Mytilus edulis: one gene and its partner. The protein of the gene in region 2 binds, or shares a complex with, the protein of the main gene of each other region. Links are inferred from orthologs where the notes say so. Each region holds a gene or a part of one and is shown on either strand. Other genes may lie near its edges.

What was found.
Region 1: protein AAR2 homolog (region 2) and CD2 antigen cytoplasmic tail-binding protein 2 homolog share a complex: the UniProt entries of both Homo sapiens proteins name them as parts of the U5 snRNP complex. The link is inferred for Mytilus edulis from reciprocal best matches to the Homo sapiens genes AAR2 and CD2BP2.

The regions. Positions count from the first base shown.
Region 1 is NC_092349.1:60,053,778-60,057,712, forward strand, and holds the start of CD2 antigen cytoplasmic tail-binding protein 2 homolog, read right to left. Parts: upstream 2,612-3,935; 5' UTR 2,586-2,611; coding exon 2,417-2,585; intron 1-2,416. UniProt on the Homo sapiens protein: Involved in pre-mRNA splicing as component of the U5 snRNP complex that is involved in spliceosome assembly.
Region 2 is NC_092348.1:58,116,855-58,120,789, reverse strand, and holds the start of protein AAR2 homolog, read left to right. Parts: upstream 1-877; 5' UTR 878-892; coding exon 893-970; exon of another isoform or gene 971-1,014; intron 1,015-1,762; coding exon 1,763-1,932; intron 1,933-2,780; coding exon 2,781-2,881; intron 2,882-3,935. UniProt on the Homo sapiens protein: Component of the U5 snRNP complex that is required for spliceosome assembly and for pre-mRNA splicing.

The DNA of each region.
Region 1 (3,935 bases), on a different chromosome or scaffold from region 2:
GAAATCTTCAATTTCACAGTATTGTGCAATAGCAAATATTTTCAATTGCACAGTATTGCGCAATAGCAAGAAATATCTAATTGCACAATATTGTGCAATAGCAAGAAATTTTGAATTGAAGTTATCTTCCTTTGTCCAGAATAGTAGTTGAATCAAGTTAAATTATTGTTTTATACAATATATAATGTATATTCACTTTTACTACCAACTGATAAATTAAAACAATCTTTACCATTCAGTGATAACAACCACTTTATTTTACATTTTAATATTTTATGATGTATTTAAATGAGTAGTTATTGTTGCAAACTCCATTAGAAATTTGAATTGAGATCAGTTTTAGAAAAAGGGAAAGGGGGATGTGAAAAAAAAGGGGGGGGGGTAAATTTTTCTCATTTCAGATGTCATAAATAAAAAGAAAATTTCTTCAAACATTTTTTTGAGAGGATTAATATTCAACAGCATAGTGAATTGCTCAAAGGCAAAAAAAATATTTTAAGTTCATTAGACCACATTCATTCTGTGTAAGAACAATGCAGAAACCTATGCTGTGTCAACTATTTCATCACAATCCAAATTTAGAGCTGAATCCAGCTTGAATGTTGTGTCCATACTTGCCCCAACCATTCAATGTTCAACCTCTGCGGTCGTATAAAGCTGCGCCCTGCGGAGCATCTGGTTTGTTTTGTTTTCATAAAATATAGTTTGATATCTTTAAAGTCTGTAAATATTTAAAAAATCTACCAAATAACAAAAAACTTATGACTATTTTTGTCTCATCCGGTCAACCGTCCTGTCACTAGCCGGTCAGTCATCCTGTCATTAGTGCAACCCGTTTTCATCACACTTAGACATGTTAGAAAAGTGTGGTACTACGGAACAGTCATTATTAATATTTATGCATATTTTTGGTGCTTTTTCAAAAATGTATATCTGAAATATGTATCAAGACTGAAAATAGTGCTATGATCAAAACCACCAGCAATCATTTTTTCCATCTTCAATGTGGGTCTCATTGGGGTCTTAGCGTGACGCGGGATTGCCGCTTTTTTCGTAAGCGTCAGGGCCGTAACTACCTAAGAGGCAGGGGAGGCAACTGCCTCGCCTCCCCTGAATTCTCTACACCAATTTTTTTTTCAAGTAATAAAATGAAATATTGACAATATGTACACGAAGAACTTGAATTTATATTATAAACAACCTAAGTTTATAGTTTTAACAGTGTTCTCATGATTCGTGATATATGTCATTTTCCGGATTTTTGATAGTAATCTCGGACTAATGCCTTAGTAGTTAAACACTCCCATTCGTTGTAGCAGGGACTTTCTATACTAACTTGTAAGTATATACTAGTATAAAAACTTTCAAAGTCACTGGTTATAGTTATATACATGTCTGTTTAGCTTTCAACAATATTGAAATTCAAGGTCCTCGATAAAAAAGATATCTTGCGTTCTATGATATCGATTGATATGTTTTTTTTACTTACCAGTTTGATTTCTAACAAAAATATCTTTAAATACAGATGATAATTGATTGCATAAAAATTGCTTCCAGGATCCAGCAATACTGATGTTTCTTAAAGTAAGGAAATCGAAGGAAAACGGGTCATTTTTAGCCACTGATTCAAGTTTATTGAGAAAAAAATCTGCGGTCACAATGTATATAATGTTAATAATTATAGGTCAAAGTACGGCCTTCAAGACGGGGCCTTGGCTCACCCCGAACAGCAATCTCAGCTTGTTTTTGCATAAAAATTGCGTCCTGGTTCAAGCAATACTGATGTTTCTTAATGAAAGGAAATAGAAGGAAAACGGGTCATTTTTAGTCATTATACTGAGAAAAAATTTGGCGAGGGGCTGTGCCCCCCCAAACCCCCTCTCTTAGGGGCCTCAATCGGCGGGCCCAAACCCCTGCCTCCCCTGAATTGGAACCCTAGTTACGGCCCTGAGCGTGAAACGGGAAAGTCAAATTATTGTGCCGTGAAAACGGGAATTAAGGTCTAGCGGGACACGGAAAATTACAAAAAAATGAGAATTGCTTAGGTACATAGTGTAAGCGGGATACAGGAATCTGACAAAACAGTAAGCGGGATCAGAACCCCTCAATGAGACCCCCTTCAATTCGTCAGTGGAATGAACTACCATCTGGCATGATGATCTGCTGTCGTCACAGCTTCCACTTTGGCAGGATTCAAAGACAGCCTCCAGACACCTGCTTCATGTAAGATATTTCAGTTTTAATTGTATATAACACCACGATGGCTTTTAACCGGATTTGTGTAAATAGTCATTTGCGATAATACACCAGAGGTGGTATGCAAATTATTGGAAGAAGAAGAAGAAGAAGATCTTGATAAAAACAAGACAGGGACAAGTCCGATAGATACGAATGTCATTCCGAGTTGCTTGCAAACCTTCAATATCATCTTCATCCAATATGTCATATTTTCCAGTGTTTTCATCTTCTTCGTCACTATCTAAGGAATGTTTATCTTTGAATCTCCGGGCTGCTTCGTCGTCTAAATCTTCGAAATCTCTCAAATCCTCTTCGCGGTCTTGTTCAAATCGTTTTCGTTTCGACATTTTTAGAATTTTCAGATTCTGGATTTTCAGAGAAAACGAACTTAGTCATATTGAAAATATGATTGTTTATTCATATATAAACGGAAAGGTACATAATTTTCGACTCTAAACTTTATCTTTTTTATATTTTCAATCTCATTCTTAAAAGAATTAACGAAAAAGATCAAATAAATTTTGATTCGTTTTATCCATTGTGATCAATAAAATTTCGAATTGTTTAAAAATGGCAGAACGCACTTGGTTACTGGAGTAGAACGGTCGTTTTTAGGACACTTCATCCCATTAAAGGCGTTTTCACGTAATAAATACTAGTCAAATGTATTTATTGAGGATAAATCTTAAAGACAAATCAAGTGTCTACAGTTTGTACATTGATTTAGGCAAACGTTTTAAAAAAATCCAAGTGGGTCTGGGAAATTATTTCAATAAATAAAAATATATTGATGCATTGACCGTGAGGCTTATGCATGAAGACCTTTTAAGTATTTGACTCTTCTAGTAGTATTAATCAATAGTTAAAATTTTTGCAGCGTCCAATAGTCAAATGATAGTTCTATGGAAACTTTGTGCCCCTACAAAGTCATACCCTAGGAACAGAACTGACACAGATTTTATCAAGCCCTTATACTAAGTACACTCCTTATCACTATTTGTTTTCCATTGCTGGAATTATACATCAGTTTTATCAGCTTGCGCTCTCTCTTTATTTTATCTTGTCTCTTGATCATATTGAATATATCACATGAACTGACATATTAATAAGTCAGAGCTCAGACATAAATAAGTCTGAATCTGCTTTTGACTCATAGAGGTCTAAATTTGTAAGTTTTAGGATTTGTCTCCCTTTAAAGCAAGACAAAATACGACTTTAATAAGTCATATATTGTTAAGCAAGAAGTATTGATCAGAATCAAAAAGTTGCAAATATAGGGCTCTTCACGGTTAGTTCGGCCATATTTGATAGGGGGCAGATTTTTTGGAAAGAGGTGGAAATAGTATGAAAGTATGGGAAATCCTATGCATGTTTCCAAGCAATTGCTCTGTTTTAATGATGTTTTCCCGTATTTTTCACACCATTTGTACCTCCATTGTGAAAATCTGCCCCCTATTAAAATTGGTTAACTGCAAGACCCATGCATATTTATAAACAGGTCATACATCTAAATCAAATAATGGCAACATTGAAAGACAAGGCTTTGTCTTCTAAAGAAAAATATGAATGAGAGTCTAAAAAATCAGAGATAATGTTAATTAAACTTACAATGCAACCATCTGGAACCACAGTTAATGAGGTAAAACATCTGTGTTTAGTAAGGATGTTCAATAAGATTCTTAAATATAGATAGCTAA
Region 2 (3,935 bases):
TAAAGCAATTTTAAACTATTATTTGTGAACGTTCTGAAATCGTCTATTTAAACATCGAAAATATCAAACAGTTTTACGAAATTAAAACCAAGCGTTTCACCAAATTTTAACCTTCGAATTACATCCTGGTTTTACCGATTTTTATTAAGCAATTGAGAATCGTTCGTGTAGTTAAAATATTTTAAAAATTGTATGATAATCTCTTTTGTAATCTCTTTCACATTTGATCAGAGTTTTATGGGGGAAACCTGTACATAAAAATATTTTTGAGGTCTGATAAAGGGTTTGCATAGTCACGCTATATAAATTCTTCGTCTTTCCTTAGTAGAAGCCTATTTTTCATTCAAGTATCTTGAAATTTTTTAAATCGTATATACAACTTGCTAATTTTAGAAAAGTGGACCTCTGTAAGAAAACTTTGTCAATATTACCAAGGATTAATATATTCTTATTATACAAATCTTTTCTATCATATATAATCTTATACGAATTTTATTCTTATCCTCATTTATATGATATGTGTAATTAAAATCAATGTAATTTACAATATACAGTGTTGTAATTGCGGTCATTTGGGGCCCGTAATCGGAAATCATGGCTGAACTCTTTTAAAATTTATTTTACAACCTTTTAGTTCCTCATGAATTTCATGTTCATGCATTATGAATATAATATATTGGGTATTGATAGCAATGTATTTTTTTTTAACCGATAGCAATGTCTCTATCCAAGGTTCCTTTAGAAACAATAAACTTTCTACTTTTTGTACAATATGATCACTCCCTTAACTTCAAGTTGGTCTAGGGCGATTTGACATGTGGGGCGAGTTGGCTTCTTTCATGTACGTTGCTTTTTATTTTTAAGTTCCCTTTAGGTACTTAGTGATACTACAATGATTCTCTGTAGGGATAATCTGGCCACAACCTCAACATTGGGAAAACGAATTTTAGACGTTCCCTCACTTTTGGATGTCGGTTTGCATGTCCCTCTAAGCTTTGATGTTGTATTTTTAATGTAAGAAGTAGTAAGCAAAGTTCTCATAAGTCGAAGGACAAATAAACACTATGACAAAAGAGAAAAAAAGGACGTATAAAAAAAACACTCTCCCAAACATGAATTATTATATGAAAACCACAAAATTATACACATCATGATAAATGTTGCTCTTAATGAGGGCAGGAATGACCCTTAACTGTTAGGCATATAATTGGTTGAAATCCTATCGTGATTTGTCAAAATATCCCCATCATAATTCGTCAGAGGTCTCAAATATTTAACCGTTACCGTAATTGTTGGAAAGAATTTAATGTGATTTGTCAAAATCAGTCAATTTCTTTTTAATCATTGTAAAAAATGTACTTTTTATCGTCATGCACCAAAATTTAATGATAACATCAGGTGGCAAGATTTTTTACCCTTATTTGTCATGAAAGTATCCCCAATACGAAGCCCATTATTTGAAAAAAGAAGAAATATTTTGTAAATATATTAGACTATCAACTTCCTTTAACAATTCCCTATGTATAATTTTCTGGTGTTGGACATTTCTTTTAGCATGTTAAGGATATAATTATATCACAATTTTAAAATGAAAACTATGGATACTCTTTATTTGGAATTATATCCAGAAAAGATCTTCATATTAAGGCTAAGCTATTATGACCTATTGGTCAGATTCAAATTTACACACAAAAGATGATTAGGGTTATACATTGTAATTTGGATGAAGGGCTAATTTATCTACTCTTTTGTTAAATTACAGATCATGGATCAAGACACAGCTCAAACCTTGTTCAAAGAAGGTGCTATTTTTGTATTCCTTGATGTACCAGTTGGAACAGAATTTGGTATTGATTATAATTCATGGAATGTCGGACCAGAGTTCAGAGGAGTTAAAATGATTCCTGCAGGTCTTCATTTTGTTTATTATAGGTATGTTACTTACATTGATTTAAATTATTGTCACTTATATTGAAAAAAGTACTAGATTAAATACTGTGGATTCATTAATTTTCTTGGGTGCCGATTTTCGTGGTTTGAAGAAAACGTGCATAGTCTCAGATATTTATTTTCGTGGTTTTGGCAAAGTCTGCATTCATTCCTTTAGAAAATATGTAATCCATTGAATATTTATGGTTCCCCTGGTCACTCAGGAAATCCTCGAAAATTGGTATCCAACAAATATTAATGAAACCACAGTATAATTTGTTCTCAGAGTTTAGACAAAACAATTATCAAAGTCCACACTCCACAGACACATGGTTCCTGTATGTTGAGAATGACAAAATTACATGTTATGGTCTTTTGTATTTTTTAATTCAGCAGTCTCTGTAGATACTAAGTAATTTTCAACACAAGATGAATTCAGGTTAATTTCTTCACTAAAAGAAATCAAGCGTTGACTTCATCATTGCTATGCTAGAGGGTCTAAATGGGGTAACTTTTTCTGTATCAAAAATTTTAAGGCATATTTTTCTTTTCTTTGAAAATAATGCTTATTGTTTTAGATTATCAGGAATATGATTTTACTAGTAATCTGTAATTATATGATTTTTTCCCCTGTTATTCGTTCATTTTTAAAATCCAAGGGTGGTGCAAATATTTCATGGGTGGAAGATCAATAGCCTTAAATAGCCTTGTCACTTTTATTATTCTGAATGATATAACTTCACAAAAGACAGCCCTTGAAATATGGCAATAGGGCCAAACATTCAATTTATCATTATACATGTTATACATTACGTTTTTAAGATATTTATTAAGATTCATTTACATTTCAGCGCCTGTAATAAGGAAGGTCAAACAGCACCTAGAACTGGATTTTTCTATAACTTCAGAAAGAAAGAAATTGTTGTTCGCAAATGGAACAGATTGTTAGAAGGTAACCTTATTTTTATCAAATTGTCAAAGTCAAAGTGGCAGAATTAATACAGTTTAATAAGGTTTAATTTCTAAAGAATATTCAGTGACTTGGCTGGTTTGTCCTGGTACACTTGTTCAATTTAGGCAGGTTCCTGGTTTTATTAGGCGTTGGTTCAGATAGGTTTCCCTGTATTAAAATTAAATGATGTCTGAAGGAAGTACCATCAATCTAGATATTTTAAAATGTGCCTGATGTTTGTTTTGTTCATTAATGGTAAAATTGCTAAATTTCTCATTGAGAAAAATTCCCTCAGATAGTAATGGTCTTGGAAATCACTTAAAATAGCGAAATTAACTTTTTTTTTTCTTGAGCAAATCACTCACAATAGCTGATAGGAAATTTGCTCAGTTGTACAGTACCTAATAAAGTTTTAGGTGTAAAAGTAAAAGTGTCTGTGAGGTCACTCTGATTTAATGTTAAAGTCCTCAACATTTTTTATGATTAAAAACACAGGTGCAAGGATATAGGTTTAATATCTATACTATTAAACGAGAAGACCTCATTTTGTGTGTCACTTCTCTTCCTTCCACAATAAATTAATCATCATGCCTCTGTGTCCTATAGGTACCATGCATAGTCGCATTTGTCATCCATTCTTATGATTTAATAATATTCAGATTCAGTTATTTTGGGAGAAATACGGAAAAAAAGGCGTCCTGATATTGTTTCCATCATCAGACTGACTTTTAGAAATAGATAAGACTTCTGTTTTTAAATTTGCATAAGTAATTGGAGAGAGGACATTATTTTCGCGTTTATCTTCATGTATACTATGATTATGCTACTATAATATATAGAGACTCTCTGTATTCTGTATACTGTTTTCTTTGAAATGTTTACTAATTAAGGGGTCATATCAGTTGCATATAAAAATAAGTAAAACATGTGGAAAAAATTTATTGTTGAAAGTGAAGTAGTGATTTGGCCAAAATGAAAGTAGGGTACTGTAGAAATTAGCCTTTGTCATTTATACAAGATACAAATCCTACCATTGGCATGTTAATAGGGTTCT